4 linked regions of the Arabidopsis thaliana genome follow. The protein of the gene in region 4 interacts with the protein of the main gene of each other region in a pairwise test. Each region holds a gene or a part of one and is shown on either strand. Other genes may lie near its edges.

What was found.
Region 1: the proteins of CRK33 (region 4) and HOS3-1 interact in a protein complementation assay, tested with the Arabidopsis thaliana proteins (one large-scale study listed by BioGRID).
Region 2: the proteins of CRK33 (region 4) and GPX5 interact in a protein complementation assay, tested with the Arabidopsis thaliana proteins (one large-scale study listed by BioGRID).
Region 3: the proteins of CRK33 (region 4) and RABA2c interact in a protein complementation assay, tested with the Arabidopsis thaliana proteins (one large-scale study listed by BioGRID).

The regions. Positions count from the first base shown.
Region 1 is NC_003075.7:17,345,588-17,352,631, forward strand, and holds HOS3-1 (GNS1/SUR4 membrane protein family), read left to right. Parts: upstream 1-3,630; 5' UTR 3,631-3,923; coding exon 3,924-4,698; coding exon of another isoform or gene 4,699-4,793; exon of another isoform or gene 4,794-5,040; intron 5,041-5,194; coding exon 5,195-5,346; 3' UTR 5,347-5,576; downstream 5,577-7,044. Other genes in the region: AT4G36820 (calcium uniporter (DUF607)), read left to right, coding at 1,302-1,859, 1,949-2,407; AT4G36840 (Galactose oxidase/kelch repeat superfamily protein), read left to right, coding at 6,579-7,044. UniProt on the Arabidopsis thaliana protein: Probable very long-chain fatty acid (VLCFA) elongase that controls VLCFA composition and functions to inhibit abscisic acid (ABA)-mediated stress responses, including regulation of stomatal aperture, maintenance of primary root growth and inhibition of germination.
Region 2 is NC_003074.8:23,305,957-23,312,879, reverse strand, and holds GPX5 (glutathione peroxidase 5), read right to left. Parts: upstream 3,144-6,923; 5' UTR 2,720-3,143; coding exon 2,660-2,719; intron 2,567-2,659; coding exon 2,490-2,566; intron 2,402-2,489; coding exon 2,340-2,401; intron 2,201-2,339; coding exon 2,082-2,200; intron 1,971-2,081; coding exon 1,803-1,970; intron 1,716-1,802; coding exon 1,680-1,715; 3' UTR 1,483-1,679; downstream 1-1,482. Other genes in the region: AT3G63070 (Tudor/PWWP/MBT domain-containing protein), read right to left, coding at 3,305-3,330, 3,538-3,717, 3,872-4,229, 4,322-4,739, 4,821-5,005, 5,075-5,187, 5,270-5,378, 5,831-6,239 and 1 more. UniProt on the Arabidopsis thaliana protein: May constitute a glutathione peroxidase-like protective system against oxidative stresses.
Region 3 is NC_003074.8:17,244,678-17,252,689, forward strand, and holds RABA2c (RAB GTPase homolog A2C), read right to left. Parts: upstream 4,147-8,012; 5' UTR 3,841-4,146; intron 3,719-3,840; 5' UTR 3,686-3,718; coding exon 3,521-3,685; intron 2,511-3,520; coding exon 2,022-2,510; 3' UTR 1,551-2,021; downstream 1-1,550. Other genes in the region: AT3G46840 (Subtilase family protein), read left to right, coding at 6,334-6,432, 6,536-6,630, 6,736-6,827, 6,960-7,212, 7,309-7,816, 7,918-8,012. UniProt on the Arabidopsis thaliana protein: Intracellular vesicle trafficking and protein transport.
Region 4 is NC_003075.7:6,974,933-6,983,051, reverse strand, and holds CRK33 (cysteine-rich RLK (RECEPTOR-like protein kinase) 33), read right to left. Parts: upstream 4,205-8,119; coding exon 3,433-4,204; intron 3,277-3,432; coding exon 3,151-3,276; intron 2,867-3,150; coding exon 2,754-2,866; intron 2,685-2,753; coding exon 2,474-2,684; intron 2,384-2,473; coding exon 2,146-2,383; intron 2,047-2,145; coding exon 1,893-2,046; intron 1,801-1,892; coding exon 1,504-1,800; downstream 1-1,503. Other genes in the region: LCR11 (low-molecular-weight cysteine-rich 11), read left to right, coding at 7,107-7,167, 7,523-7,770.

The sequences.
Region 1 (7,044 bases), about 10 Mb from region 4:
TTTTATGGTGTATAATCAATGTGTAATGGCTTCCGTTCTTTTCGGAATATCCGTGTCTTGTGGTGTTGGTACAGGTAGCGTGAAAAATTTAGGATTTTTATTCTCACTTTCTTAATAATATCTTTCATTTTTTTTTTTTTGTGAATCTATGTTTTCAGTTCATTTCCTATTCATATATGCCATGTGCTGATGTGCATAGATTCGTCTAATAAGAATATCACATTATAAAAAATATTCTAACGTACGTGAAAATTAGATGTACCAAAATGGTTTATGTGATGTCTCATGTCTTAATTAGACCGAGATAATCGTTGAGTCGGAACTATGTAGTATAAAATAAGTTTGTTGACATAGCAAGGCATATTTAAACAGGGTTTACATGATCTTGATTTAAACACACACTAAATTTTTATTATCTCCATCACCATCAAATTTGAATCAGCAGTACAACCAAGATAACATGTATTTGGATTTAAACGTAAATATCAGGTTTATCATTTTAATTCTACGTGTTTATAAATTATAGAGAAAATTATATTTTAATTCTACGTGTTTATCATTAATTTTATTATTTATTTTTTCAACATGTTTATCCGGTGATGCTATTTTGAAAAACAAATTTGTAGATAAAACAGAAAATGTGGCGACACGTCCGTGTGTTTAAATTTACTGAATTACCTAACCAGACACAGTAGTTACATCCACATTACATCACATTTGTTATCTCTTTATTAGGTGTGCAAAGGATAAAAACGAAAAATGTGGCAACACGTCATTGTTTCAAATATTTACTAAGTTTTCCTTATATAGACATTATTACATCTCAAAAAATCATCTCTTCAACATTACCATTTACTACTAGATGCAAGAGATAATAACAAGATAAAACAGAAAATGTGGCGACACGTTTTTGCCTTTCTTTTTAATTCTGTTGTGTAATTTACTCATAGTCAAATAAGTTATCAAGATATTATATCTTTTTAAAATTTAATCGGACGGTTATTGAGGCATCGAAAGCTATCACCAACATAAATCTATCCACGTGGACGGTAGTCACCTATCAATATTCACGAAAAGGCAGCGTTTATTGAATTTCTCGTGATATATCTGCTGACGTGTATAAGGCCCCACAAGATTTATGTTAAACGTAAAATTAAAACTGTAACAGAGAACTTTGGTTACCTATATAAAGCTCGCTCTTGCTGTTTCATTTTTTCAAGTAGTAACTGAAATCGAATTCATTTTCTTCTCTTCCTTTCTGGGATTTCGATTTTTCGTATTTTTTTTTTGTTCTGTTCGTCATGGTGATGATGAAGAAGCTTTTGTCGAACCGTTTGTTCAATATGTCAAAAACGGCGTCGCAAAGTCTCATGAACTGTCGTACTTCGTCTTCTTCTTCGTTAGCCATGCGAACTAGGGTTCCTAAAGATATAGGAGAAGCCACGATTGATCCAGAGCCTGGAGATTTGACGATTTCTCAGAGGTTTTTGAATAAATTCTCCATGAATGGGATTGATACGACTTCGAAGATGTCTATTGGGGAGAGTCTGATGGAGAAGCTTAAAGAAATGGATATGAACAAGGATCGGATTCGATTAGACGGACTTTCTCATCCGAAGGAGGAGACGTTAGGGCTTACTGTGCAAGACGTGAAGAAGTTGCTAAGAGCAGCAGAGATCGAAGTTATTAAAACGAAGCTGATGGAGACAGGAAAAATCTGGATTCGTTACTCAGATTTCTTAGGTGTTTGTAGTGATTCTTCTTTGGATCCTTCTCAAGGAGCTTTGATCGCTAAGATGCTTGATGATTCAGGAAACGTTATCGTTATGGGAAACTCTGTTTGTTTAAGACCTCATCAGGTAACTTCTTCCTCCTCTTTGCTTTTTTTTACCATTTGAATTCTTTTTTGTCTATGCAATTCTCTGATAAGGTCTTGTGTGTTGATCAGTTAACCAAATCCATAGAGGGGCTTCTTCCTTTATCACAAATCCATAACCCGAATGACCCAAGAAGAAAGGAGCTAAATGAGCTTGAAGCTATAAAGACGGTCATTGACCAAAAAGCACATTCTTTGGTGAGAAGAGAGCTTTGGGCTGGTTTGGGTTACTTGATCATCCAAACCGCAGGGTTTATGAGGCTAACGTTTTGGGACCTGACATGGGATGTTATGGAACCGATCTGTTTCTATGTCTCATCGGTATATTTCATGGCGGGTTACACATTTTTCCTCAAGACATCGAGAGAGCCTTCCTTTCAAGGTTTTTACCAAAGCAGGTTTGAGGCTAAACAAAGGAAACTGATGCAATCTGAGGATTTTGATGTTGGGAGGTATGATGAGCTGAAAAAGCTGTTTAATCCCAAGCCTTCAGGTGCTGTTCCCAAGATTCTTGGATCTCTACAGAATTGATCATTGGTGTCTCGTTGTCCTACTAACCTGAGAAAGATATATTGACCCCCAAAATTGTGTCAAACTATAATTTTTGAATATTTCATAATCTTTCTAGGAAAATAGGAAAAAGACAAAAAAAAAAAAAAAAAGTTCTATTAGTGCGGCTTATGTAATTTGGAAGAGTAGATAAAAGAATCGATTGTGATGTAGATTTATAAATTTCAAGTCTGACTTTCTGAATGTTAAATGTTACAATACTTCCATGCATATGCATATGAGATATCATTACTTTAAACATGTTATCTATACCAAAAACTCAACAAAACCTTGTCATTTGAGGCCTAAATCTTAGTTGAAGCCAATTCCGAAATTAGTTTTAGTTTTAACTTAAATGATTTTTAGTTTATAAATTAAACAAGTATAACATATGCTTAATGATTGTTTCGGCGGGCTTACATAAATGATTGATAGAACATGTTATGCGTGGGAGTAGTCGTTGTAAGTTCACCGTCCAAGTCTCCTTTTAATTAATTCACGAGAAATCAACTACGACCGTGTAAATAAAATACTTAGTTTGGTAGGTCAAGAATCACTTCTGGAAAATGAGACTAAAGAAAAGAGTCACTTGTGGAAAATACTATCAAGTGGACAAAACCAAATTCCTCATAGTGAAAAAGAGATATATTACACTGTTCCTGCCGCATTTGTTTGGTACGTATCTAATATTTTTGTTTACTCACGTGGTACTATAACGCTTATTGCCAATATAACGATTAGGACAATTTGATTTCTACTAATTTTATTTGATACGTATCAAATATCTTCTGTCTTAGCTGGTCATCAAATTGTGTGAAATAGTAATTTAATACTAACTCGTTACTGATTACTGATGTAGATTCATCTTCGTAACGATCGCCCGATCCATATTCCAATATTTGCATTTTGTTTTACGTAATGCACTCTTTCTCATCTGTAGCTCCTTGAGTAAAACTTAAAACTTAACCATGAAGGCATCTGTAAATTGACGCTTGTCTGAATTTCTCAACACCAAACTCTCTTTCGTGTCTAGAGGTTCTTTGGTTTTCCCACCTGCTTTTCGATTATGGTAATGGTCAACTTGACGCGTACCAAGTTTTCTGATCTTTTTGAAGATATTTCAAATATGGTTTGCTATTTCGATTTTCGACAATAACAGTAAAACCCCATTAAGACCATAAATCTTAAAAATTTTCATAACCGTTTTACAATATTCATTTATGTAGCCAAATTAAATTTGTCACGTAAATGTGACAATTAATATTGGTCCACATCATTTTGCTTTCATGACAAGACCGGCCATTTAGTGACCTACTGTATGTTCTACAACAATTATTGGAAAATGGAAATTAAATATCCCAACAAAAAAAATAAGAGCAGAAACAGAGATTCACTTTGCGAAAAAGTCGCACGCACACATATAAAAGACAGGACTAGAGGAACAGAGGAAGAAGAAGAGTCACTGTGATCACCACCACCGTACGATCAAATTCAAACTATGTCAACGGCTCTGATTAACTCTATTACCTACTTCCTCTCCGAACATCCATACATCGTCGGATTCCGTTGGAGTAACAGCCAATCATGGGGCTCCACGTGGTCTTTCCTCTTCACATCAATCTCCCTCTATATCGCCGTCTCATCCTCCCTCCACATCCTCCTCTCCGCCGTACGCCGAAGTAACCGTTCCGTTCCTTTAGGTCACATCCCCGAAATCCACAGCCTTCTCATGTCGATCCTCTCCGCCACCATTTTCGCCGGAATCCTCCTCTCCGCTGCCGCAGAGATCCGTGACACACGGTGGTTATGGCGGCGGAGCAAAACCGCCACTCCTCTCCAATGGCTTCTCTGTTTCCCTCTCGGGACTCGTCCCTCTGGTCGTGTCTTCTTTTGGTCATACGTGTTTTACCTCACGCGCTTTCTCCACATGTTCCGTACGATTTTCGCCGTTTTACGTAGCCGGAGGCTCGCCGTGTCTCAGCTCTTTTGTAACTCCGTCATGGCCTTCACGTCTTTCCTCTGGCTAGAATTCTCGCAGTCGTACCAGATTCTAGCGATTCTATCGACGACTCTGGTTTACTCGGTGGTTTACGGTTATAGATTCTGGACCGGGTTTGGTTTACCCGGTTCGGCTTTCCCTTCGTTTGTGGTGAATTGTCAGTTGGTTCTCGTGGGCTGTAATCTCGTGTCTCACGCTGGGGTTCTTACGATGCACCTCTTTAAAGGTGGATGCAATGGGATTGGCGCGTGGGGTTTAAACTCGGTTCTCAACGGTGCGATTTTGTTGCTTTTTCTTAACTTTTATGTGAGAATGCATTCGCCAATGCGACGCCATATTAATAAAATGAATAGCCAACGTAACGCTTAAGAATTAATTGATCCTTTTTACTAGTTTTTACTTTTTACTCAATAAAACAAATCTAATCTTCTTTTTTGTCTTTCACTTTTAAAACTGAAGTATAATCTAATTTGTTTTCTAATAACTAAAATGTTCTGCGTCTAGGTCTGTACATCTTCTCAAACCGGGACAATTTTTTTTTTATAAACCATCGATCTCTGACTTTGCATGAGATATTTTACATTTGAACTATTGGCTCTTAGTTAACGCAATCTAGTTCTTGTTTTTCATTCTTTTAAATCTAGTTTTGTGTTTTTTAAGTGGAAAGAAATTATGTCGATTATTTATAAATATATCTTTAAAAATATTTATTTATTTCATAAGAGGTTTTTGATCCAAAGACTCAAACTTGGGGTAACTTTATGACGTAGATATACCACAATACCCACCAAAATGTGGTGATAGAGGAAACAAAGGTTTACATGGTGGATCATGGACGAGGATGATCAAAAGCTTATACTCTTTACCAAGTGAAAATGCATTTTGGATAAGAGGAAAAATTATTAAAAGCGAGAAAACATAATATGGTTTGAGACTGATGTGTTAGATTGTAAGAGCTGCAATTGTATCTCTCTACTTGGGGACACACTTTTGATTTTCTATTTACCGTTTGAATGCCGTATAAGGAAATGTACAGGTCAAACGAATATGGTCGAGTGTTCGCCTTAGACCATTGTATAAGGAAATGAACTATGTCGACTATATTTAATATTTGGGCCTAGTATAATATTACTACACTTAATCAAAGTTAAGGCATTTATAACTGTAGAACAAGATGGGCCTAAGGCCACGGTTTTCTACTTAACTAGGCACACATATGACATATCCCATAGTAAAAAAGCTTACATAATAAGGCCCACATCTGAAATCTGATTCTCCACTGTAAAAATAAAATCCTCTTAAGCTCTCGATCGATGGTTCTGCAATCTCACAAACCAGAAACAAAGAGTCCAGGCTCTTGCAACCAACCGCGGAACTTGTTGAAAGGCGACGAGGAGAGAGAATTTCAAATCTCTCCAGATCAAAGTGAAACACAAGTACAACAAGTAACCGACAAAGTGAAGCGCAAGTACTTGTTTCTTTCCTTTTCCTTTAATATTTGTTAATTTGAGAAAAGTAAAAACCATAAAATATATATAGTTTCTGTCCGAATCGGCCTATCTTCACAAAATCTCGATTCCAATCAAGAATTTATGGCAAGAAAGGTCGATCAATCAATCAGATGATTATGGATCTAGAGATCTCTAAATTTGTGTTGTTGTGAATTGAGAATGCGAGAGCATTCGACGATGTACAATTACGCCCCCGAAGTGCCACCGCAAAGTAAAAGGAAGAAGACGATGAATGAGGCGTCTCCGTCGTGGTCTGGATTACCGGATTCTGTGGCTGTGAGTTGCATGGCTCGCGTCTCGAGATTGGACCAAACAGCCTTATCTCTCGCTCCAAGAAATACCGCTCTCTCGTAACATCCCCTGAGCTCTGCAGCACGCGATCGCTGATTGGTTGCACTGAGCCATCTTTCTTCGTCTGCTTGCGCATCTTACCTGATCCAACCCCTCGCTGGTTCGTCCTTACGGGTAGTCGTCGACTGAGGCCGGTCCCATCGCACCCCTATCAGGCTCCGGAATCATCTTCTTTTGTGGTAGTGAATTGGGGGATCTATGTTATGTAATCGGTGGAATCATAAACGGCAATCCCACTTCCGATGTCTTGTTCCTCAACTGTTTTTCTCAGACATGGCACCGCGTCCCGTCTATGAAGATGGCTCGTGCTTCCGCATCGGCAAGCCTCATAGACGGGAAGATCTACGTTTTTGGAGGGTGCCCAGAGGACGCTGATTCCTCAAACTGGGCGGAGGTATTCGATCCAGTTTACCAAACTTGGGGTATATTTAATACGCCGAAGATGGCCCATAGTATCAACCAAAGTGTGGTGATAGAGGAGAAGAAGGTTTACGCCGTGGATGAGGAGGACCAAAGCTTTAGCTTCTTGCCAAGTGAAGGTAGAATCTGGAAAAGCGGAAAAAAAGATTCTAAGGTAGGAAGTAGACACGATTGGTGTGTCATTGGGAAATTACTATACTGTCGTGCTACTCGCGGTAGAATACTATGGTGCCAACCAGATGAGTTGGACTGGAAAGAGGTAAAAGGTTTGGAACAGCTACAATTGTATCTCTCTGGTACAAGATACATCTTCAGACGTACCTCTGATAAACGACCGT
Region 2 (6,923 bases), on a different chromosome or scaffold from region 4:
AGGATAAAATTAAGATACATTATTGAACTGAATAATATGGAGGACCTACATGTTTCTAAGTGTGAAGAAAAGGCATGATGCTTTCACCATTAGCTTCGCTTTTGAACTAAAACCTTATGTTTAGTTTCTATCATTGATTAAATGTTCGAAACAATTTGGTATCATTTTTTTTTTCCTTTTTTCGAAAAAGCTTATCATGTTTTCAAATTTGATTTTGCGGTGAGGATATTGTTTGAACAGAAAACTTCTGTTCATGCACACATGAGTCTTAATGATGGAGCCTGTGGTTTGTGGGTCTTTATGTCTTGCTGTGTGTTAGGTGCGAATGGAATGATTAAATATCTCTAATTTGGTAGTTAGGAAATGTAATTAAATAAATCACGATCAACTTCTTAATTATGGATTTGCTTACGAGTTTAGCATGAATGTTACGTTCATCCCACCACATCACTCATTTCATGCCATTGACTATAAGCTTTGGAATTGATCCAAATTGGTATCAGTTAAACTATTAATTAAGAGGGTTTCCGTTTCTAATTTCATTGTGTTGTTAAAGAAGAAAATTGTATGCTTTCATTGTATAATTTCCCTAAATTTCTCACTATGCCTCAACTAAAGCACCGAAATGGCTACACCAAAGCCCTTGAATGTATTAAGCACCATAGCAAAAACGATGCAAATAAAAGGCAGTGCAATGGTAGTTGAGCCAGAACCTAAAGGACGGGGCTCTACACAAATCTCCAAACTAAGTAGCTTTGTTCGGGTCACGTAGACTCATGGAGGAAAGCTCGGGGCTTGCTCACTTTCGGGAGTAGTTGGTATTGGTCCCTATCTTCGGTTTTGAAAACTCTTGACGGGATACCCAGTGCTAATCGAAGAAGAAGAAAAAATGTAAATATAATACACAGAGAAAAAATAAAATGGAAAAGACAGTACACTAGTTGTAATGTCTAATTAGTGATTATGGGATAGGTGGGTCGTTTGTTCACAAAATAAAGCCATAAAAATGGTTAATGTTAATAATATCAGTAGTTTGACTAATCTCTAACAAAAGCAAAAGAAACTGATAAGACAAGAAAGAAGAAGGATGGATGCATGAAAGAGTGGTCAAGGTCTCCTTTTAAGTACTCCTTTTTTCTCCTTTGTACTCTCTATTTCTTCAATTGTCTGCCACGTTTCACAAACAGCGCACGTGAGAGTGATACGCCACTTATAATCGATACATTACAGATGGAAAGAAGTTCTCATTGAACACATGAGACAGATTTAAACATTAATTATCGTCGAAACTGAGTAATTTGCACCATAAAAAGTAAATGGTGAGAGTGATAGATAGACTAAAATGTCTTTTGGTATCCTAAGACGTTGTTATAGGCGTTCTCTTGAGTGAAAATCATTGATGTTTTATTTTGATCTTGCTGATTTCGTCTAATCTTTAGCTTAGCTGGTGGTTTGTATTTGTTGGAATTAGTTTTTTTTTTTCTTTTTTTTATGGGTTCAAATCAACTTATTGGAATCACCTTTGATCAAATTTCACAAAAGAAATGGCTAGTAGAGTTACACATAAGATGAATACAAGGCCCATATGGAAGGTGCAATGGGAAATGTAGAAACTTGACTGCATGACCGAGAGTATGAGAGAAGTTTCTTCCAAAGGAGTCAAATATCTCTGTGCGTGTTCACAATTCTTGTGCAAGGGCTTTCTCGATGTCTTTCTGTTATGCAGAAAACAAACATGAAGTAAGCCATAAAAGAGTGATATGATTTTATAATAGAATATGAAGAACAAGAGAGTTAGAGACCTGGATGGATAGAGGTGAAACAGTTGTGCCATAACGATCAATGACTTGACCATCTTTGCCGACCAAGAACTTGGTGAAGTTCCATTTGATACGACTTCCAAGAAAAGAGGGTTTCTTAGATTTGAGGAATTTGTAGACTGGTGCAGCGTTTTGTCCATTTACACGCACCTACACACACACATAGATGATCATGATCATTCATGCTTAGTTATAAACTTACAAAATCAGCTACCTATTAAAGGCATATGAAGAAGAAAAGTGTCTTGTTTGTTGAGGTACCTTTTGGAAAACAGGGTATTCAGCCTTAAAGCGAGTACAAGCAAATTGATGAGCCTCTTCGCTGGTGCCAGGCTCTTGGGACAGAAACTGGTTGCAAGGAAACGCCAATACCACAAAACCTGATGATGATCCAAAGGAAACCAAAACAAAAAATCTTACATAAACGATGAAGTAACAAGGGAAAGCAAAAGAAGAAGAGTCTTCTTTATTAGAAAGGAATATATACATTCCTATTCTAATATTCTTGTATGGTCTGACCTTGATCTTTATATTTCCGGTAAAGTTCCGTCAGCTGGGTGTAATTGGACTCCGTGAATCCGCTGTTCCCCAAATTGTTTGTTAACAAAAAATTTAGAATCAAGAAATAATAATTAACTAGAGAGAAGATGATCGGAGGATCTGACGGACCATTTAGAAGCGACGTTGACGACGAGCAGCACTTTCCCTTGATACACGCTTAGGTCAACCTCCTTGCCGGAGCTATCCTAATTTCCGATAGATCAGACAAACAAGTCAGAAACGCATTCATTCATCAGATAAACAAACAATGAAGAAAAGGGATTCATAAATTAGAAAACCTTGACGGTGAATTGATGGATTGATTTCTCCGACACAGATGATGATGATGAAGCACCCATCTCTCGATCGATCTCTATCGCACAGAAGAAACTAATTAAAATTATTTGAAGTCAACAGGTCTCCGCTTCTTCATTGTTCATTTTATCTCGCAGCAGCATTACAGCTGTTATGTTAATTCCTTGGTAACAAACAAACCCATCCCTAATTGTTTTTTCCATTTGCTATTTAACTAATTAATCGCCTCTTTGACCATTTTTTAGAGACATCTCATCTCTCCAGGTGACAGAAATGCATATTAGTGTGTATTACCACCACTCCCCAAAAATAAACCAAAAAATTTTGTTTACAAAATATCAAATGCCTAAATCAGTGACAGTATTGCCTAACTCAAATCTCTCTCTCTCTACTACAACAAATGGCTTTTCACGACTGTTTCTTTAGCCTTCTCCACGACGTTTTTGGTCATATGTACACACACCAACTGTGCCTTTTTTCTTTTGTATATTAACATCTCTCTCAAGTGGCCCAGGTCTTTCCAACCTACACTTGTTTCTCCCTATTTCTTCTTTTCCATGACTATAGCCCAAATGTCTTTCATTTAGAGCAGACTGCACCTTTGCCCTTCTTCATCTCTTGTCTCCCACTCACCTTTGATGCCACGTCCCTGGATCTGCATATCCACAAACATACTCCAAGTTCATTTTTATATTCAAGATATACCCACAGGACAAGCAAAACAATCTCGAATCTCAGAGACCTAATGATATAAAATCCCCAGTCAAAAGAAAATGTCAGAGTTTCTAAACCTAGGAAACAATTCCAGTATAAGAAAAGGCTCTGATTCATGACGTGGAACAAGTATGAATTTCCATATTACCTCTCATTCCTACTGGAACAGGACCTTCCGAATGCTGCTTATAGTGATAAGAGTGTCTATTGTTATATGCACGCGGAGAATCACTCCACCTATTGTTCTGCAACCTTCCTGAGTCACGGTGATGCCCACTGTATGAGCTCGATTGATGAGGTCCTTTGTGTCTGTCATGATATCGTGGACCTGCAATATAAAAAAAAGAAAAGCATTCACGCCTATTAGCATCCATGAGCAAGTGCTTGTGTGCGCAGATATGCATTCATATATGCATTCATATATGCCTATTAGCATGCATGAGAATTATAAGGAAAAAAAAAAAAAAGGTATCGGAGTCCACCATGAGAAGAGGGCGGATGATATCTCCAATTGTCTCGATTCTCGCATGGTTCAGGCCTCATTCTCTCATAGCTGTCTTGATAATTCCTTTCGTCAAATTCCAGTGTGTAATGAGATCTGTGAGGGTATGATAGACCTTCTCTCCGCGACTTTATATGGTGGTCCGGCTCCATATATGAATAATGATGTGATGGCGGAGGAGGTGGGGGATGAGAAGATGGATATGGCCTATGCTGGAAGTTAGAACCCTCCCCACGTGGCATGCTTTTTGACAAAGATACTCGGGAACTATAAGATGGTTCAGGACTTCCGTAATGCATTGGGGGATTCATCCTTGGAGGACCGGCATGATAGTCGCCCTTGAATATTAACCACAAATTAAGTTATTAACTATGTCTGAATCCTCACTTTGTTAACTGCAAAAGATTCTAAAAGAAGAAAAAGGACGCACCTGCATGCTGGGATTTCTGCGGTAGTCAAAGCCATTTGAGTAGGAATTAGACATTGCCAACTGAGCATTCTGCGAAGGGCGAGCTGGTGGAGATGACGAGGTAACATTCTGATGTGAAGTTCCAGGGACAAGCAGACAATTTGCAGACTCTCTATTATCAGCTTGATCTGTGATCGCACTAGCACTGCTTCCACCTTCCCAAGGTGGAGCCACGTCTTCCATTTCAAGCTCACCATCAACATCTTCCAGTATACGGGTATGCCTTTCGGTAATGGACGGTGTGACATGTTCTTCAAGGCTTCTTGACTCGTGTTCAGGGGTGACAGACTCAAAATCACCCCCATCCGAGTCACTTCCTTCGTCTTCATCCCTAAGTATTGGAGGTATGCAGAATCCATGAAGCTGGAGAGTTGAATTACTGAAACAAAAAGGTGAAAAAAGTTATGACCCTAGAGATAAAGAAATCAAGATCCCAAAACTGATTAGACTCAACTCTCACCTTCCATATTCATCCACCAGTATACCCTCCATATCTCTAACAGGGTCATCCAGCGCCCTTTCTGTTCGAGCGGATCGCCGAGAATAGAGGCAAGCAGGAACATTACTAAGCGAATCAAGTTCTCTTATATGGTGACGAACTATAGATTCAGGAAGGATCCGTCTTTCAAGCCAAAGCCTCAAAACCTATATAAGAGCAGAAAGGGTGAGAGTTAGTATTCATAAGAAAAAGAATATCTAACTAAAATCGCATACCTTCAAGCACTGTTTTCGGTTTTCTTGTGTGGTAGCTCCAGCTGGGACAGCAGCAGTTAATAGGCGAGGTAGCATAGCCTGAATGGATGAAAGATAAACACCACCAGCATCACCTGAATAGAAAGGTAGTATTCACAAAGTTAACTCGCCATTGAGAACATCAATGATGCAACTAAGCAAAAACAGCATACTCACCATTCAAACCTTTGGAGCACTGAGCAATAGAATCCACAAGGAAAAATAAATCCACCCTCCTTTGTAAATTTGACTCACTTTCCAAAGTGTGGGCCAGAATTTCCATCGCCTAATTTTAGACATAGAGATTCTTAGAGCATCATTAACAACATTAGACAAAAGTCTGCAAAATAGTGTTTTATAAATTACACAAAAGCACCGTGCAAAAAGTCCCTTTCCACATTAAAACGGTAAGATAAGATAATAAGGATTGCCCTAGTCCTTTGCTTGAAAAGAGTGGCTGGATGCCTACAGCATCCTAAAATCAGTAGACAAAACAATATATATAAGGTGTTTCTCTAATTCGTAGTAATACATAAAGTTGGTATTGACAATTTGACATGTTCTCGCAATTAACTATTTGATAAATGCAAATAGGTATATAGCATGGGACAGATCCAGGTACAATGTTTTAACAATCTATAAGAAGAAATTTGTCTCCGATTGGATTCCACCTCTAATTAACATGTGGCATCCACAAACAGATAAGACAAGATCACAAGCAGAGAGAACGTTTCATACCTTTGCTGAAACGCCAAATTTCGCCAAGTCCATAGCCAAGCGAGTTGCTCGGCCAATGGTCTCCTTTGTCCTCACCAATGAGTCAAGTGCAGTCTCAAAAGACTCAACAGTGCATTGCACATCAGAACTAACAACTTTCTTCACCTGAGTTGTGCCTGTTTCAACTTTGCTTTCTTCTTTGACAGTGTCAACATTTAATGATTTGTTCTCACCATACTGAACATTGGTGCTGTAATAACTGTTGTTCTGCATAGCATTTTCACTTTCTGCGGTAGAAATTCGGCATACTGAGTTGCAATTTGGAGTACCCCTTGCAGGAGATGAATTCAATTTTTCACGTGAAAAGTTCTCAGATACTGAGATAGAATTGGTGGCTTGCATCTGCTCCTTCTGCTCATCAACCTCACAACTGCCAATGCACACAGACATACCATACTGTTAGTCAACCAGTTCCGTGAATTGGAAAAACTTGACCAAGATAAAGTCTGAAGAAACTTAATCTAATTGATGTTTTGCTTAAACTCAATATGCATATCCTCTACATAGACTTTCAAAGCAAGAGAAAATTTAAATAGGAACTGGGAATCTTCAACTGTAAAAGGAAAATGCAAATTACAAAGAAAGAAAGAAATAACAAAGAAATGGAATTTTATGTCAAAAAGTGAATAGATAGATTCCTAGTCATGTTCTACATCAATCTGCCTATGAGGACTCCATGCATAAAATATTCCAATGTGGTTAGAAATTGAACACATGATTGTAATTAGAAAAGTTTTTCTAATAAGGAAAATCAAAAAAGGAAACAACATAGAATCAGAGGTTAGTATAGGAGTAGAGACAAAATCAGTAGACTCACCTCTTTTCCAGCTCTCTGTTCTCCACAGCATCTGCACAGTGACTATATACAGTTTCATACTGAGGTTCCGCATCATCTACGATCATTTCACTTTCAGTAGCAGAGAGTACTGGATTCTGTATCATGTGAGCTTGTTTGTCACTATCAAGTTCTTTACCGGGACTTCCTTGGTTTTCTTTCCAAAGAGTATTTTCAGTCTCCTGCAGGTTTTCAACCTCCTGATAATTGACCACTGAA
Region 3 (8,012 bases), on a different chromosome or scaffold from region 4:
GAAATAATACAATTTGATAGTATTAACTGAATTTATTTTTCTAAAGAATGTAATCGATTTTTATTAAATTTTGGAAGAAATTTAAAATAAAAATGACTAAAAAAGTAAGATTGTTATAAGAAATTTTTTGCTTAATAATTAATTTGATGTTAGAAAAAAACTATAATTAGTTTAATCTTCAAGTTGGTAACAAGTGTAAAAATTTAGAAACATAACATATTAGAAAATATTTTCATTTAATATTACAAAAATTAGAATATATATCCATATAATTGACTACATTTAGAGTTTTTTTTTGGACAAATTAATTTTTTCATTTTTTTTTTAAAAGTTGAAGACAAAGCACAATTTTTTTTTTGTTAAAGGGTTTGAAGACAAAGCACATTGGTTTGGCCGAGAACTATATATAAACATATGTGTAGAGCTCCAGTCTTCAAACATTTTATTTTCTACAAACATTTTTTAAAATTTCTAAATTTGTTAAGAGTTTAGTAAAATAGTGATTTGGCTTGATATGGATCAAAATAAAATGTTAGAGAAAGTTCTTACAAACACCGATCTTTCCCACATGGGTAGGTTATATTAACCAAAATTGCAGATAGAGAAGATACTACGCACTATAGAAAATTTTGTAATGCCTCCAAGTGGTCTTCAAGTGGAAGTTTTAGAGAATAACAAGAGTTACTGGGTAACAATAAAAATAGACCATGATAAATATTTTATGTGCTCAGGGTGGAATAATATAGAAGCAAGAAGGCTCAAAACAGGCGATAAAATTATATTGTATTTACAAGATAACAAATTCATTTTTACTATGCATTGATTCTTTATTGTTTATTTCTTAAAAATGTTATCTCTCATTATTCTATTTTAATATACCTATTCTAATATTTTGTCTTAATGATAATATTTTGGATGGGTTTATGTATTTTATAACTACAAAAATAGCTTATCAATTTAAATGAGATCTAAATTCTAAATTATGGGTATGTGAGTATATGTGAGTATAAAGTTTGGACTATGCATTGATCAAAAGCTTTTAATCGAAGGATATGGAAGTTATCGATTAGAAAGATGAGGTTTTACTATCTTCCTTATTGTTTCTCTGAATGGTTTCTCGGCGCATAAATATATATAATGGATCACCAAGAATTTTCATGTTATTTTGCTCATTAGAAATCACCAAGAATTTTCATGTATAGCATTTCCGAACTTAGAATTTTCTAATATGAAACAATTTAGAACTAAAAGGCCTTTTGGGTTGTGTCCAAAAAGAAAAACCTCACACGTTGACAATGTAAAATTCCATGATTTATTATAAACTCTTTCATGCATGCAATTGGTTAGTTTTTGCAAGTTGGGCTACAATGACGTTTTTGTTATCGGTTTCTCAATCACTCCTTTTCTGTCTCCATGTATCGTCGTCACTTTCCTCTATTTTACTTGAAAATAATACCATTAATTCAAAACATCTTTTAATTTGGTCGGTTCAAAACAAAATAAAAAACCATAGCCATTATTTGATAGTAACTGCAGTTCAATTGCATTTTTATTTGTGATAATAGATGGAGCAAAATTAGTTTGTCAACAATTTTTTCTTTCGTAATACTAAAATTTATTTTCTTTGGTAGAAGCTTGTCAGTGTGTAACATGAAGAGAGGATTTTGGAACCGGATACAATACATTGATAAGAGAGGAATCAATGATTTGATTAAACAAAGCCAAGACGAACCGGACTAAACCGGAGATAGAAAAAATACTTTATAAACCAGAAATCAATAGAAACACACCAAGGGAAGAAGAAGGGAAAGCAAGCAAGCACCAGAAGATTCTAAGTATACTACTAACAAGCTTTAAACTGAACACAAACCCCAAACCGAAGAGAATAAAAACAGAGTATTCTACATAGTCTTGCATAGTTACGTTTCATCAGCCAAAACTTGAAAAGAAGAGAAGCCAGTGAAAACAAAAGTTTGAATCTCTGAACAAGGAGCAACCGAAATAAACAGTTTACCTTTAGTTTAAGAAGAGCAACATGCTCGTTTCGCGCCTCCAGATGTGTCATCGACGTTAATCGTAGTTCCTTGCCCAGGGATTGCAGAATTAGCTGCTGCTGCTTCTTGTGCAGCCAGTGCCTTTTTGCTTATGATATGGTAGATCTCACCTAAGATGGTCTGAAACGCTTTCTCGACGTTTGTTGCTTCAAGAGCAGATGTCTCCAGGAAAGAGAGACCTTCCTTCTCAGCCAAACTTTGACCATCTTCCTCAGCAACGGATCTCAAGTGGTTCAGATCGGATTTGTTCCCAGCCATCATGATCACAATGTTGGAATCTGCATGGTCTCTCAGTTCGCGCAGCCACCTTAAAACATTGTCAAAGGTCTGTCTCTTAGTAATGTCGTAGACAAGAAGTGCACCCACTGCGCCTCTGTAATACGCGCTTGTGATCGCCCTGTACCTCTCCTGACCTGCAGTGTCCCAGATCTGGGCCTTAATGGTCTTTCCTTCAACCTGTGTATGCATGAGAGATTCACCGTAACAACCAGTTAGATCTTAGGTATTGAAGCATTCCCAGGTTTATGAATAAGAATGCTAATTCAACAATCAAAAGTAAAGAACATATATCTTCTCAGTTGTTAAAACCAGGTTAGTAACATTATTAACAATCAACATTTTAAATGCATCTTTCCGCATTCAACTACATAAGTGTATCATAGAATTCCTCTTGTCAAAAAATTTATCGGTTGACTTTACGAAAGTATAAAGGTGGACAAGGTCAAGCATGACAAATGATCAGGAAATAGAATGAATTATTGAGACAAGCTGTGAGAATCTTCTTATTTTTTTTAATTGGCCTTCACGACCATCCATTTATAGTCTTAAAATGAGAAAAGCATCTGTCATAACTCATAGCCAGCACAACTAAGATTTTTTCTCTTGAACAAAAGATTCAGTAGCTGAGAAAAAATCCGCCGTCTACTCTCTCAAAACACTGTATTCTTCAATCTTAAGAAACCAACGCAACCAAAAACCTTAAGACCTATCACTTAATTGCTATCCAAATCAAAGAAACTAACGAAGAAGCAACTTTAAACGAAACAAAACAGACTAAAAGCTCTAGAGCCATCACTTGAAATTAACCATCGAATACCTGAATTCTACACTACACTAATGAGGTCATGAAGCTACAAGCAAAACCAAATTACATAATTGAAATATACACTACACTAATGTGGTCATGAAGCTACAAGCAAAACCAAAATACATAACTGAAGACGGTAAATCTATGTATAGCAGTGAAAGTAAAAACCTTCACGGATTATAGCTAAAGATAAATCAAAACAGAGACAAGCTAATAAGAAGAAAAAACCTATCCCAAAATCCCATCTTTAAGCCTCTTAACATTATATACCAAACCTAAATTACTATCTCTTCGTATTACTCTGATTCTAACAGCAAATATTCTGAATTTCACTCCTAAAGTACTTAAAGAGAGAAACAGAGAAAAATTCGAATCTCACCTGAGTAGTTCTGGTGGCGAATTCAACACCAATAGTGGATTTAGATTCCAAGCAAAACTCATTCCTGGTGAATCTCGACAAGATATTCGATTTCCCAACACCAGAATCACCAATCAACACAATCTTAAACAAATAATCATATTCCTGATCTACTCTATGCGTCATTTTCTCCTTCTCTCTTCGATCTCGCAATAAAACCTACAAATTCGAAAGAAAAAAAAGACAGAAACTTTATTACTTTTCTCCAAAATCAAACCCAGATCCAACGAAATTAAGACGAACCCACAAGTAATTCAGAAGACGAAAAACGATTCGTGTACCTTAATGGCGGATGAATCGAGAAAAATATCGAATTTTTTGAGATCTATAAAGAAAGAAACTTTGAGTAAGAAGCTTTAAATGTTTGTTCTCACTCACAATCAATGGAGGAAAATGGAATTTTTCTTGTTTAATTTGATGGGCTTCGTCTTCTTCTTCGTGAGAAAGAGGAGAGGAGCAATAAAGTGAATATACGGTGTATCTATACGTATCTCTGTGTCAGGGAATAGAAACGACGTCGCGTTTGAGAAAAAGACAAAGACTTCAGTTATCGTGCTGATGTGGCAACTAATGATTCGTTAGCAGGCTGGCAAAAAGTAAGAGCATGTTCCAAGGGGTATTATTGGAAATGTAGTTTTGAGCTTTATAATTGCGTTAAAGAGCAATGATTGTATTTGTGAGTGTGGTAATGATAATAAGCAACGTCAATTTGAAAATGTCGAATTAACAACTTTAATAGAAGAAGAAAATAATGAAATGAGGATGTGATGAATTGACCACTACATTCCCAACTTCCCATAATATTTGTAAGAATATAGTTCTGATCCATATAATATAATTAAACAATGTGGTGGTTCTGGTGGCGATGGCCGATGGGCAAATGAAGATGGTAGTGGATCATGTGGCGGCTTTAGAAGGCAACATGCTACAAGTCTAGTGGAAAATACGTCGGAGATTGCGATGGTAATAGGCTAATAGCTATAGAGGACGAGACTAGTCTTTTGGTGCGACACATATAGAATGTTACATTCTAATCTGATGAAGATGAGGACCATTAAGTCATTAACGCTAAATTATTAATCCCTGAAACGTCATACTTTTTTTCAACCTAACGTAATAACTTCATTTTGTTATAAATTTGATTTTGTGCCCTCTAATAAACCAAGTTTTTTTTTTGTTTTTTTTTATCGCAAAAACATCAAATAATTAAATTTGTTCGAAAAAGTTAGTTTCGTGGGCCAACTACTCCGAAACGAGAGGGTTTATATGGGAAAAAAGTACACCTCGTACTCTTGCACTCTTTGCGAGGCAGACAACACGGACATTCATAGTGCGTGGAATATGAGATAAAGAAAACCGACCAAAACTAGCTTTAAATCTAGCAAAATCTTTTCCACCGGCCAATCTTTACTTTCATCAAGGATCTTAAGTAAGCTTAAGCAATCGGTTTCAAAATGTATAGATTGGATACTTTGTTGTAAAGTGCACTCCATTGTCCAAAGAAGAGCTCCGAGTTCTGCGTAGAGGGCATTGCGATAACAATTCTGGCTACTTTGACCAAACAGCTTGGTCGTTGAGCTAGTCAACATGAACCCCAAACTAACATTCTGGTTAATACCAGTCCACGAAGCGTCAATTTGGCACATAGCTTCTCCTCTTTGAACGTGCGCATACTCACAAGCTTCAACTACTTCAGGTTCTTCCTCCGCATCAATGTCATGTTCTAGTTCTTGGGCAACTCTCCAACTTTTCGACTCAGAAATTACATGCGCTAGAATATATGGTGTTATGTACTCCCGTAACGTATTTTCAAAAAGTATATATTTGACCTATTTAAACATTTATTACTTTAGGTTATGAATAATCCTGACGCAATTCTTGCTGATTAGTCTTGACGCAATTGTACGTTGCTATTGATTTTAAACGAATACAGCACAAAAGAAGGCAATCGCGTGGACGAAAGAGGAGCCGATACATACAATTGCATACATCTATTTGTATACTATATTTGCTTTCTATTGGATAATTCACCCTAACTATTAAGAGTACATTTAGTCACAATATCTAAATTAAATCTATAAATGTGAATATGCACATAGAGTTTTCACAAGTGGTCATATTTTAAGGATAATATTTGATACAGTTCTTAATTTCTTTGGTACATTTTTTGTTACCTCTCTAGAAAGGTTAATTAATTAGATACATCGCCTGCAAAAGTACTTTTAAGAAAAAATATTCGCGTGGAGAATATTTCGTTCGTTCATGTAAGGTCAAATGATGAACCTCTTACCCATGATTAGGCTGCCATAATTAATAAACCGAATTCAGAATATACATTCCTTACTTCCCATCATTCTGAATTGCCCAAATTATACTCATTTCTAGTCATAATAAAAAAAAAATTAACTTCTAGTGGTTAGTCAATCTTTTCTTTTGTCAAGAGAATAAATATCAAGTCAAAGAAAATTCTTTCTATTTAATATTTTTCTCTATATTCATGAACAAACAATACAAGTAAAAGAAAAATAAAAGATGATGCAAGGATTAGTAGAACAAGAAACGGTAGCAAATTAAACGGTGCATTCAAAAACCTATTAATATGGAAAGTACATTATACTGTCATTAATATATAAGAATAATTTGAGAAACAAATCTTAAAGGAGTTTGATGAGGACTTTGATTACGTTCTATGTACATACAGTATCTCTCCCTATAATAATCCTTTCATTCTCACAATCTTGTAAAATTTGATTATAACCAAATCAATCAAAAAAATGACAAAACCTGCTGTCTCCTATTGTCTCCTCTCATGTATCTTTGCCTTGCTTGTTGTGAGTTTCGCTTCAGCAGACAAAGATGATCAAGACAAACAGGTAATTGCACAAATCCTTCTTCGTTATTTGATTATTATAATCATATCATGGTTCTAATTATATTACTAATGACTAACCATAACTATGATGATGATACTTGTAGGAGTATATAGTATACATGGGTGCACTTCCTGCTCGTGTTGACTACATGCCTATGTCCCATCACACTAGTATTCTTCAAGATGTCACCGGAGAGAGGTGCACTGAATTTATTCAATTTTATTGTTTAGTGTTAATGTGATTATTTGTATATGGTTTCATGTCTATCGATCAAAGTCTAACAAATGTATTTCTTATTTGTAGTTCGATCGAGGATCGTTTGGTTAGGAATTATAAAAGGAGTTTCAACGGATTCGCAGCCCGGCTAACCAAATCCGAAAGAGAGATACTAGCAAGTAAGTGAACATAAATGGATTACGACCCGAAAGTTTTCAAAAATAATAATCAAAACTCAAATTAGTTTTCTTCTCTATGAAAAAACTTTATTAACTCAATGTGTTGCTATTTCTTAATATCTAATTTCTTAGGTATGGACGAAGTTGTGTCTGTGTTTCCTAACAAGAAACTGAAGCTCCAAACAACAACGTCATGGAATTTCATGGGCCTCAAGGAAAGCAAACGTACAAAGCGAAATACTATCATAGAGAGTGATACAATCATCGGTGTCATCGACAGTGGAATCTATCCGGAATCTGATAGTTTTAGTGGCAAAGGCTTTGGTCCTCCTCCTAAAAAATGGAAAGGTGTTTGCAAAGGCGGCAAAAACTTCACTTGGAACAAGTATAAAACTCTTAAATTTGATCATACAATTAAATTGTGTAAGGATTTTTCAATTGCTTAGTTATAATGAATGTGGATGATTTGTTTGTTTTATAGCAAGCTTATTGGAGCACGGTACTACACCCCCAAACTAGAGGGGTTTCCTGAGTCAGCGAGGGACTACATGGGACATGGATCGCACACAGCATCCACGGCTGCTGGAAATGCTGTGAAGCATGTGAGCTTTTACGGCCTCGGCAATGGAACCGCAAGAGGTGGCGTTCCAGCTGCAAGAATAGCGGTTTATAAAGTATGTGACCCTGGCGTCGATGGGTGCACAACTGACGGAATTCTAGCGGCATTTGATGATGCCATAGCGGATAAGGTGGACATCATTACCATATCCATTGGTGGTGATAATAGTTCGCCTTTTGAGGAGGACCCTATCGCGATCGGGGCTTTCCATGCCATGGCCAAGGGAATCCTCATAGTGAATTCCGCAGGAAACAGTGGTCCAGAACCTAGCACGGTCGCGAGTATTGCGCCGTGGATGTTCACTGTTGCTGCTAGTAATACTAACCGTGCGTTTGTCACTAAAGTTGTTCTCGGAAACGGCAAGACAGTTGTGGTAAAGTACCAAGGGACAAATCTTTGTTCCTCTCTTACGACAACATATTATCATACATATCTTGTCCTCTTTTAACATTACTGCTTGTTGCTAAACAGGGAAGATCGGTAAATTCGTTCGATCTTAACGGAAAGAAGTACCCTCTAGTATACGGGAAATCAGCTTCAAGTAGTTGTGGTGCTGCTTCCGCCGG
Region 4 (8,119 bases):
AATTGGCATGACTTTGATCAATTCTGTAAATCCTAGCCATGCCAAAATCTGCAATTTTGGGTTTCATGTCGACATCTAAGAGAATATTACTCGCTTTGAGATCACGGTGTATGATTGTAAGCCGTAAATCTTGATGAAGATATAGAATTCCTCGAGCAATCCCCCCAATGATATTGTACCGTCTTGTCCAATCTAGTTCACCTTGTTTTGCAGGGTCTGTACATTTGCAAGTATATGACTCATTAGCAACAATAAGGACATCTTGGAACTTAAAAGTATCTAAGCTCATAACATACCAAAGAGGAAATAGTCAAGGCTTTTGTTAGGTACAAATTAACTCGTAAACGTTTATTTTTTCTTGTCCTTCCAAACAAAATCCAGAGAAAGAAATGTTGGAATAACGTACCATACAACAATCTGGCCATGTCTAAGCTTCTGTTTGGTTAAGATATCTCCTTAATAAGCCGTCTGATGCGCCTTTGATACAATCTGAACAAGTCTCTTGTTTAGTCCCAGGGATGCACATACTATTGATGAAGCCTCTATTGGGGTCTTGACCAATCGAGGAGTTATAGAATCCCTTGTGAGTTGTGACATTAGTAGCAAGAGAAGAAAAGATTAGGCGACGGTTTAAGTCGTAAGTAGCATTGGGTTTAAAGTAGCTATTGAAGCAGACTTGTGCAGAAACAACATCTAACCTTACAAGGAAAGAACAAAAGATTAGAACAAATGAACTCTTGAGTTTCTTCTCTCAAGATCAGAACCAAAGACTGTGTTAAATGTTCAAAGTTAGAAGGTTTATCCTCCGAAGATTTTCCATGACAGATAGGACCGTTGATTTTGACAAAAAAAAGAGTTAGAAGTAATAATCAAAACCACAATGTCCATTCCCCACCAATAATATGGATTCATAATACTCAATATAATAACTAAACAAGTAGAGTGTGCTGCCAAAAAAAGAAGCAAGTAGAGTGTGAATTGGTCAGAAAACTCCCATGTTATGTCGCTCCATTTTACATTAGATTTGCAGAGATCCAAACAAAAAAAAAAAAAGAAAAGGAAAACGTGCATTAAGTTAGCCAATTGAGAGACCTTATAGAAGTCAGCAGACCAAATTTGGAGACAAATGGAGTCAGCAGCCAAACTTGACTAGCCAAAATTTACATGTACATTAGTTTTCAATCCTCCAACCAATACAAAAGAAACAAATTCAAACCCCAACAAAAGATAGCCAAGGAGACATCATTATAAAACCGTAAACAGAAATCGGTTAAAATCATACAAACCAATTTGATTTCCGGTTAGAACTTTCAAAAACACCAATCTTTGAGTTATATAAAACCTGCTTGAGTCAGCTTATCTTCGAACTTCGCTTGAACAGAGGAAACCCTGTAAGAGAGAGTTTCAATGTATTTTAGTAACACTGTATGACTCAACACAACAAAAGTAAAAAGTGCTAAGAGAAATTATAGAAACACCTCGGATATGAAGTAACTGTCATCTTCAGCGAGGAACTAAGTCATCAATCAATGAATCGTTGACAGAACCAGGAAGAGATTTGATAGAAGGTAGAAACATGTCCATTCCCTCATATACCGGTGACTGAGGCACCGGTAAAGTGATGGAGTTACTTGTGAGCATCATGATGATAGTAGATAAATTCGGACGTTGTTCTGGATCATTTTGAACACATAATAGCGCGATATGGATGCATCTGAAGACTTCATTACTCTGATAATTCTTTTCGAGTTCTGAATCCACAAGCTCTAATGGTGATCCGTTTCTCCAATGCCTCCAAGCCTACCACAATGATCACTAGTAGTCAAAACCTTACGTTACATTGCATGGTTAAAAAAGTAGAGTCTTTCCAAAGTTTAGTTTTTAATGCTCACATATGTGACCAAATTCTTTCCGGATTCATCAGTTTCATGGAAGTTGCTGTTTCTTTTTCCACTTATAATCTCAAGAACCAAGACTCCAAAACTATAGACATCAGATTTCACCGAGAACTGGCCATGCATCAAATACTCTGGAGATATGTAGCCACTAGAAAGAAAACAAAAAATAATTCTTGAGTTTACCAGTGACAAAAAGGTCATCAAAACTTCAGAGATTGAAAGGCAAAAAAGAAGAAAGGGTACTTACTGGGTTCCAACTACCCTTCTTGTATCCGCTCGAGATTGATCCACCCTAAAAATTCTTGCCATTCCAAAATCTGCGACTTTGGGTTCCATTTCAGCATCTAAGAGGATGTTACTAGCTTTGAGGTCACGGTGTATGATTTTGAGGGGTGAGTCATGATGAAGATATAGAATTCCTCTAGCAGTTCCAACAATAATCTTGTACCGTTTCGCCCAATCCAGTTGGCCTTTCTTTGTAGGTTCTGTGTAAGTCAATTAAAATAAGTTTCAAGAACTGCAACTTCATCATTAGAACTTCAAAAACTATGAGCTGAGTGTTATATGCAAAATACCAAACAAGAACTGGTCGAGGCTTTTGTTGGGAACAAATTCGTATACGAGTATCTTTTCTTCTCCTTCCATACAAAACCCGAGAACTCCAACCAAATTTCTGTGCTGAAGCTTTGCCACGAGACTAGTCTCATTCTGGAACTCTTGTACACCTTGAGCTGATTCTTTTGACAGCCTCTTCACTGCAATTTCTGATCCGTCTTGAAGCACACCCTACAAATAATAAAGAGAATAAGATCATCACACCACCTATATTCATTAATGGAAGTTGAGAAGATTTACCTTGAAAACTTCTCCAAATCCACCTTGACCAAGCATGTTGCACTTTGAAAAGGTACATGTTGCAGCTTCAATTGTCTTAAGATCATACTGCAGTGAATATTTAGGTGATTCCTCTGCTACACAGAAATGTCATATTATTCCTTGCAACATGGAAGTACGTACACATAACAAATCTAAACCATGATGATATGTTTTCATATTCACCAAAGTTTTTCATTTTTCTAATAAACATTGGTTAGCTAATAAGAAGTTTTAGATAGTTGACCATTGAACTGAATAAACTATTCCTAGTTAAAATTCCCTTGTCCCGGCATCATGCAGTGTTCCTGATTAAGCATGCATGCCTTATTGTTCTTAAAGAAAAAGAAATCAGTGAGTAAAATACGAATCAACTCACCTGGAGGATCAGTTTTTCTCTTTCTGCAAACAAGTACTACTACTAAAGTAGATAGCACAGAGATGACAACTCCGGTGGCAACAACAATGGCCACAAAGAATCCAACTGAGATATTCCTTTTGCTACCTGGGCATAGTAGAATCACAGAGGATAGTTTACAATAGAGAAAATGCATCATCCAGTGATTGAATCTGTTTCAAACCTTTCTCAAACTATTGGTCAGCAACTTAGCAGAATGATACGTTCTTAGAATCATATTTTTTCTTTTAGTTGAGGAATTACCTGGCGGGGGTGAAAGTGTCAAATTAAAAGCTCCGATGAAGGGATACAGATCCCACCGAAAACAGCAGCTTGGCCATGCAACAATTCCTCTTTGCATCCTAAGGTTGCCATATTCAGAAACAGCTTTTTCCAGACAGTTGTGACAAGCACCTTTTTCTAGATCAGGAGTGCATAGCATTAATGCATATATATTCTGGAAATTTGTCAGATTTGTTACATTAGCTGCATAATATCTACGACTAGATAATGATGCATTATAATCCGAGGATGCGTCAGACATCAAACGATCCGTTAGAGCCTCCCATATCGTATTTAAATATGTCAAATTTGATTTGATATCCACATTACTATGCTCCATGTAAAGTGGGTGCAATCCAACCCTCTTGAAGAATGAACTGTTAGAGTAACGAGCAAAACAGAGCGTCTTATGAGGTGTCCATGTATACGCTTCAGTTTGGTTAGGACAATTCTCTTGTAATTGGTCGGCCGCGACCTTGAGACAATCGGAGCAAACCGTAGGTTCGGTCCCGTCGATGCACATCCCCATTACGTGCACTTCGTCAGGAACTTTGCCGATGGAAGAATTGTAGAAGCCGTAGTGATCCACCACTTTGGAAGCAAGAGATGTAAGGATCTGCCTACGGTTGGTGTCGTAAGTTTTCCAAGGTTCAAAATACCCAGTTTCGTTGCATTGTTGCGAAGAAATAGCACCAATTATGCTTATGAGAACAACCCAGAAGATCAAAAAGGAAATCTTCTTGGTCTTTCTCATGATTTTACAAATGTGTTTGGGGTTAGTATGTACATATCCGTACACTTCATATCAGTTAAATAGCAATTGAGTTCTCTCAGCAAGTTGTCAAACTTAAAATATCCAAGGCATTATAAAAGCTAAGTCAGAGCATAGACAAAATCAGAGAACCAATCAAAGCAATGAGCTGATGTGTTATATGTTTATTAAAAGAATGTTGAAGTTTCAAAAATGTTAATGATGTGAGATGCACCCAGACTACACGCCCACTATGCTTGTTGAATGAATCTCCTCAACGTAACACAACGAAGCAGAGTGATATGAGTTAAATAACCAACAAATTGAGCAATCCAAAGACCCAAATTAGTAATATTTTGACAATTTCAATAGCTTATCTTATTACTTTCTCAGCACAAACAGTAATACAAAACCATTGTTTTACTAGAGGCATTGTTGACAATGGGTTTAAAGTAAAGATTAAAGAATGACCTGACTGAATCCAAGTTTCGAACCCCCACGGAAAAAAAAATACAGGCTACTTGAAGCATCAAGACGATTGTCGGACAGCATTACATTTCCATTGGCATATGTCTAATTAAGACAACTCCATCAGACGCTTCCATGGTACAATCCAGTGGCGGATCTAGAAAAATATTTAATCTGGGGCACTATTAATTTACTTATTATATATTATTTTTTATCAAAATTATTATATATACTATTCGTTATTAAACTATAAGTTTGTGATAAAATATGTAGTTCAATAAATTCTGTAATTTGTTTCTCACAATTTATATAGGTACCCAAAAAAAAACTATGAAATTGTGTTCATATAACTTTGTTATTCATTTTCACATAAAAGTAAATGAATAGATATATCAAACATTTTAGAAATATATCAATACACATATACTATCTAATCAATTAATAAAGAAATTTTAAAAGAAAGTTAAAAGTGGATGTTCATAAATCAAAGGAAGAAATAAGTGATTAAATTGATAAAATTGGGGGAAAAAATGAGCAAAGTCAAAAAAAGAAAAAAGTTACTTCAACTAGTCTCGAACCTGGGTAAGGATGGACGAATATTGAAAACACTTAACCAGTTGTGCTGAATCATTTAAACTGCATAAGTTTACAAGCTAATACTTATAATTTAATGTAGGGCACGTGCCCCACATCCCATACACCTAGATCCGCCCCTGGTACAATCTGAGCACGACTCTGCTATTGGCACATGGATTACGCATCCTCCCACTCGAAGAATTGAAGAAGCCATCACGAGCCGTGACATTAGAAGCTCTACGAGAACTGATTGGAATGGAACAAGGTAACAGGGAACGAACCAATCAACGGCCAGGAAACCCTAACTTCCATAAGAAATTTCTCGTCGTTTAACAAATCAGAATTAGGCGGAACAACGGTAGAATCGTGAACCCCGGTTGGACATTTATACAATAACCGGTTTGGTTATACATAATCAGATTATATAACCGGTTTAGTACATTGGTAGGAACCGATTTGCTAAACAACTTCAAGCTCATGAGGCTGTCGCACTGAAAGAGTGTGTTTGCTAGTAGTGAGCATTAGTGCGGTAACTCAACGGAGCAAGGAGAAACAATTGAATGTGATTCCCAAAGTTTTAGAAAATTTTTCTTTACAAAATAGGCCCTCAATTATTTTTTTTCTTCTATAAATAGGCCCCAAGTTTTAAGATTACAACAAAACCCTTTACCAAAGCTCCCTCCTACAACTGGACCACATATGCTAAACCATAGAGTTGGATGCATAAAACAAGAAATTATGAGGGTGTAAAGAACTTTGAAAAGTTGTAATCTGTTTGGACTAGTGACAATTCATTGCTAATGTTTTCACAATATATTTTTCTATTGTTGATTGGCAGGCCCGACCCATCCTTGATCGTGGGATCAAACGACCACAACTTCTACTTACTTCGTTCCTTCTTTTTTTTTGCTGCAAATTACCCTTTTTCTTAGCAATTTTTTTCTTTTCACGTTTCTATAGTGTTTGTTTTGTTTCACGTTCAGATAATGCTTATAGTATTTTTTCCCTTTCATGTTTTATAGATTATTAATATTAAACGTTTATTGTTAGTATATTTTGGAAAGACCACATACTAAAAATGTTTTAAGCCCCACAACCTAGGATCGGCTCTGTTGATTGGTAAATCAGTTTGGTTCGTACCAGTTTTTTTTTGGTGTGAAGGTTCTTACTAGCTTTTTGTATGTAATTATGTATGTTACTTTCATTTGCTGTAAATACATTCTATTCTTTTCTTTTTTTGTCGTAAATACATTCTATTCTTTAAAATCTTCTATGTTTTATCTAAATAGGTTTTTAAAAATAAATAAATAAATAAATATATATATATATATATAGAAAAGAGACTAGAATAAAAGAAAAAATGTATGGTATTAATGTATTATCCAAAGACGAGTTATGCAGTCTCCGAAATACATTTGATTTTTTATTATTATTTTTGAATTTCACATTGTTTCAACAAATTTTAAGGCGAACATATATCTTTTTTTTAATTTCTCCTCTTACTTAAATCACCCATCAAAAAGTTTTTTTTTGTAATTTAATGGTGTTAACTGAAATTATTGTGTGGTTCTAACTTCTAAGACTCCTTAATTAGATAAGGAAAAAAATTGGAATCAATCCTTTAACAAAAAAATGGAATTAATGGAGAACCACGTTTTTTTAACCTAAATTTCAGGAGGTGATAGATCTAAGATGTATCATTAAAAAAATAGACACATCTAACTTTTCTTATATATACTTTAAATTTTGTTCACTTTTTCATTAAACAAATTAACCAAAAACATCATCTGACAAAACAAAAAAAAAAAAAAAAAAAAAAAAAAAAAAAAAAAACATCATCAATTTGTTTAGAGTATATGAGATGAAGAAAGCTAGTCAACTATCAACAACCATTCTAACTATCTTCATCGTCCTTGCAATAGGTTTGTAGTTAGATTTACAAACATATTTTCTTAAAAAATATTTATATATTTTATCATATGAAAATAAAATTAGATATTAAGAACATGCAATCTATCTGAATAATGTCAATTCTATATCTCACTTAAATAGCTAAATTTAATTATTTAATAGCAAATTCAATATTTTTATATCAAAACCTTGTCAAATAGTGTTAAAGATCAAAGTCATTCCAAAACCATAGTATCCATAGTTTTTGGATAGCTTTTTTCCATTATGTCCAATACTTTATTAATTAATATATGCAAAAGTATTTAAACATTAATCTTCAAAAAAAAGAAACTGATATTTTTATGTCTCAAATATTTACTATATTAGGGATGATGGTGAAAGGAACAGTGGGAAAACAACGTCTTTGTATTAAAGTTCTAACAAATGCTTCACATGTATCTAAGGGTGCATCAACATGTGATTCGAAATTGTGTACCTCTTTATGTGAAAAGATATCTCCTCAAGGAGTTAGTTTTTGCAAGCCTATTGCAACTACAGGACAATCCAAGAAAGGAAATCCAGTATGTAACTGCAGATATTGGTGTCGATCGGATGGAACCCCGCACACCACATAGATTTATGAGACAATCAGATAACCAAGATCAAATGATAGCAATTCATCGACAATTTTTTTATATAAGAAAAATTCATAATAATTGTATTTAACAATACTACATAAATAATTATCATTGTAAATATATTAAATAAGTAGACCATGGCATAATCACTATTGTGCTATGGTGTATGTGTGTCTTCATATAATGTATGATTTAAACTATAAATTAAATAACTTTCTATTGATCATCATTGATAGTTTATTAATTAATTTTCTATCTGAAATATGTTTAATATCTATTGTTAAACTTTAAACCTTGTATATCAGAATTACAAATACGAGAAATAAATTTCAAAGTAAAAAAAAAA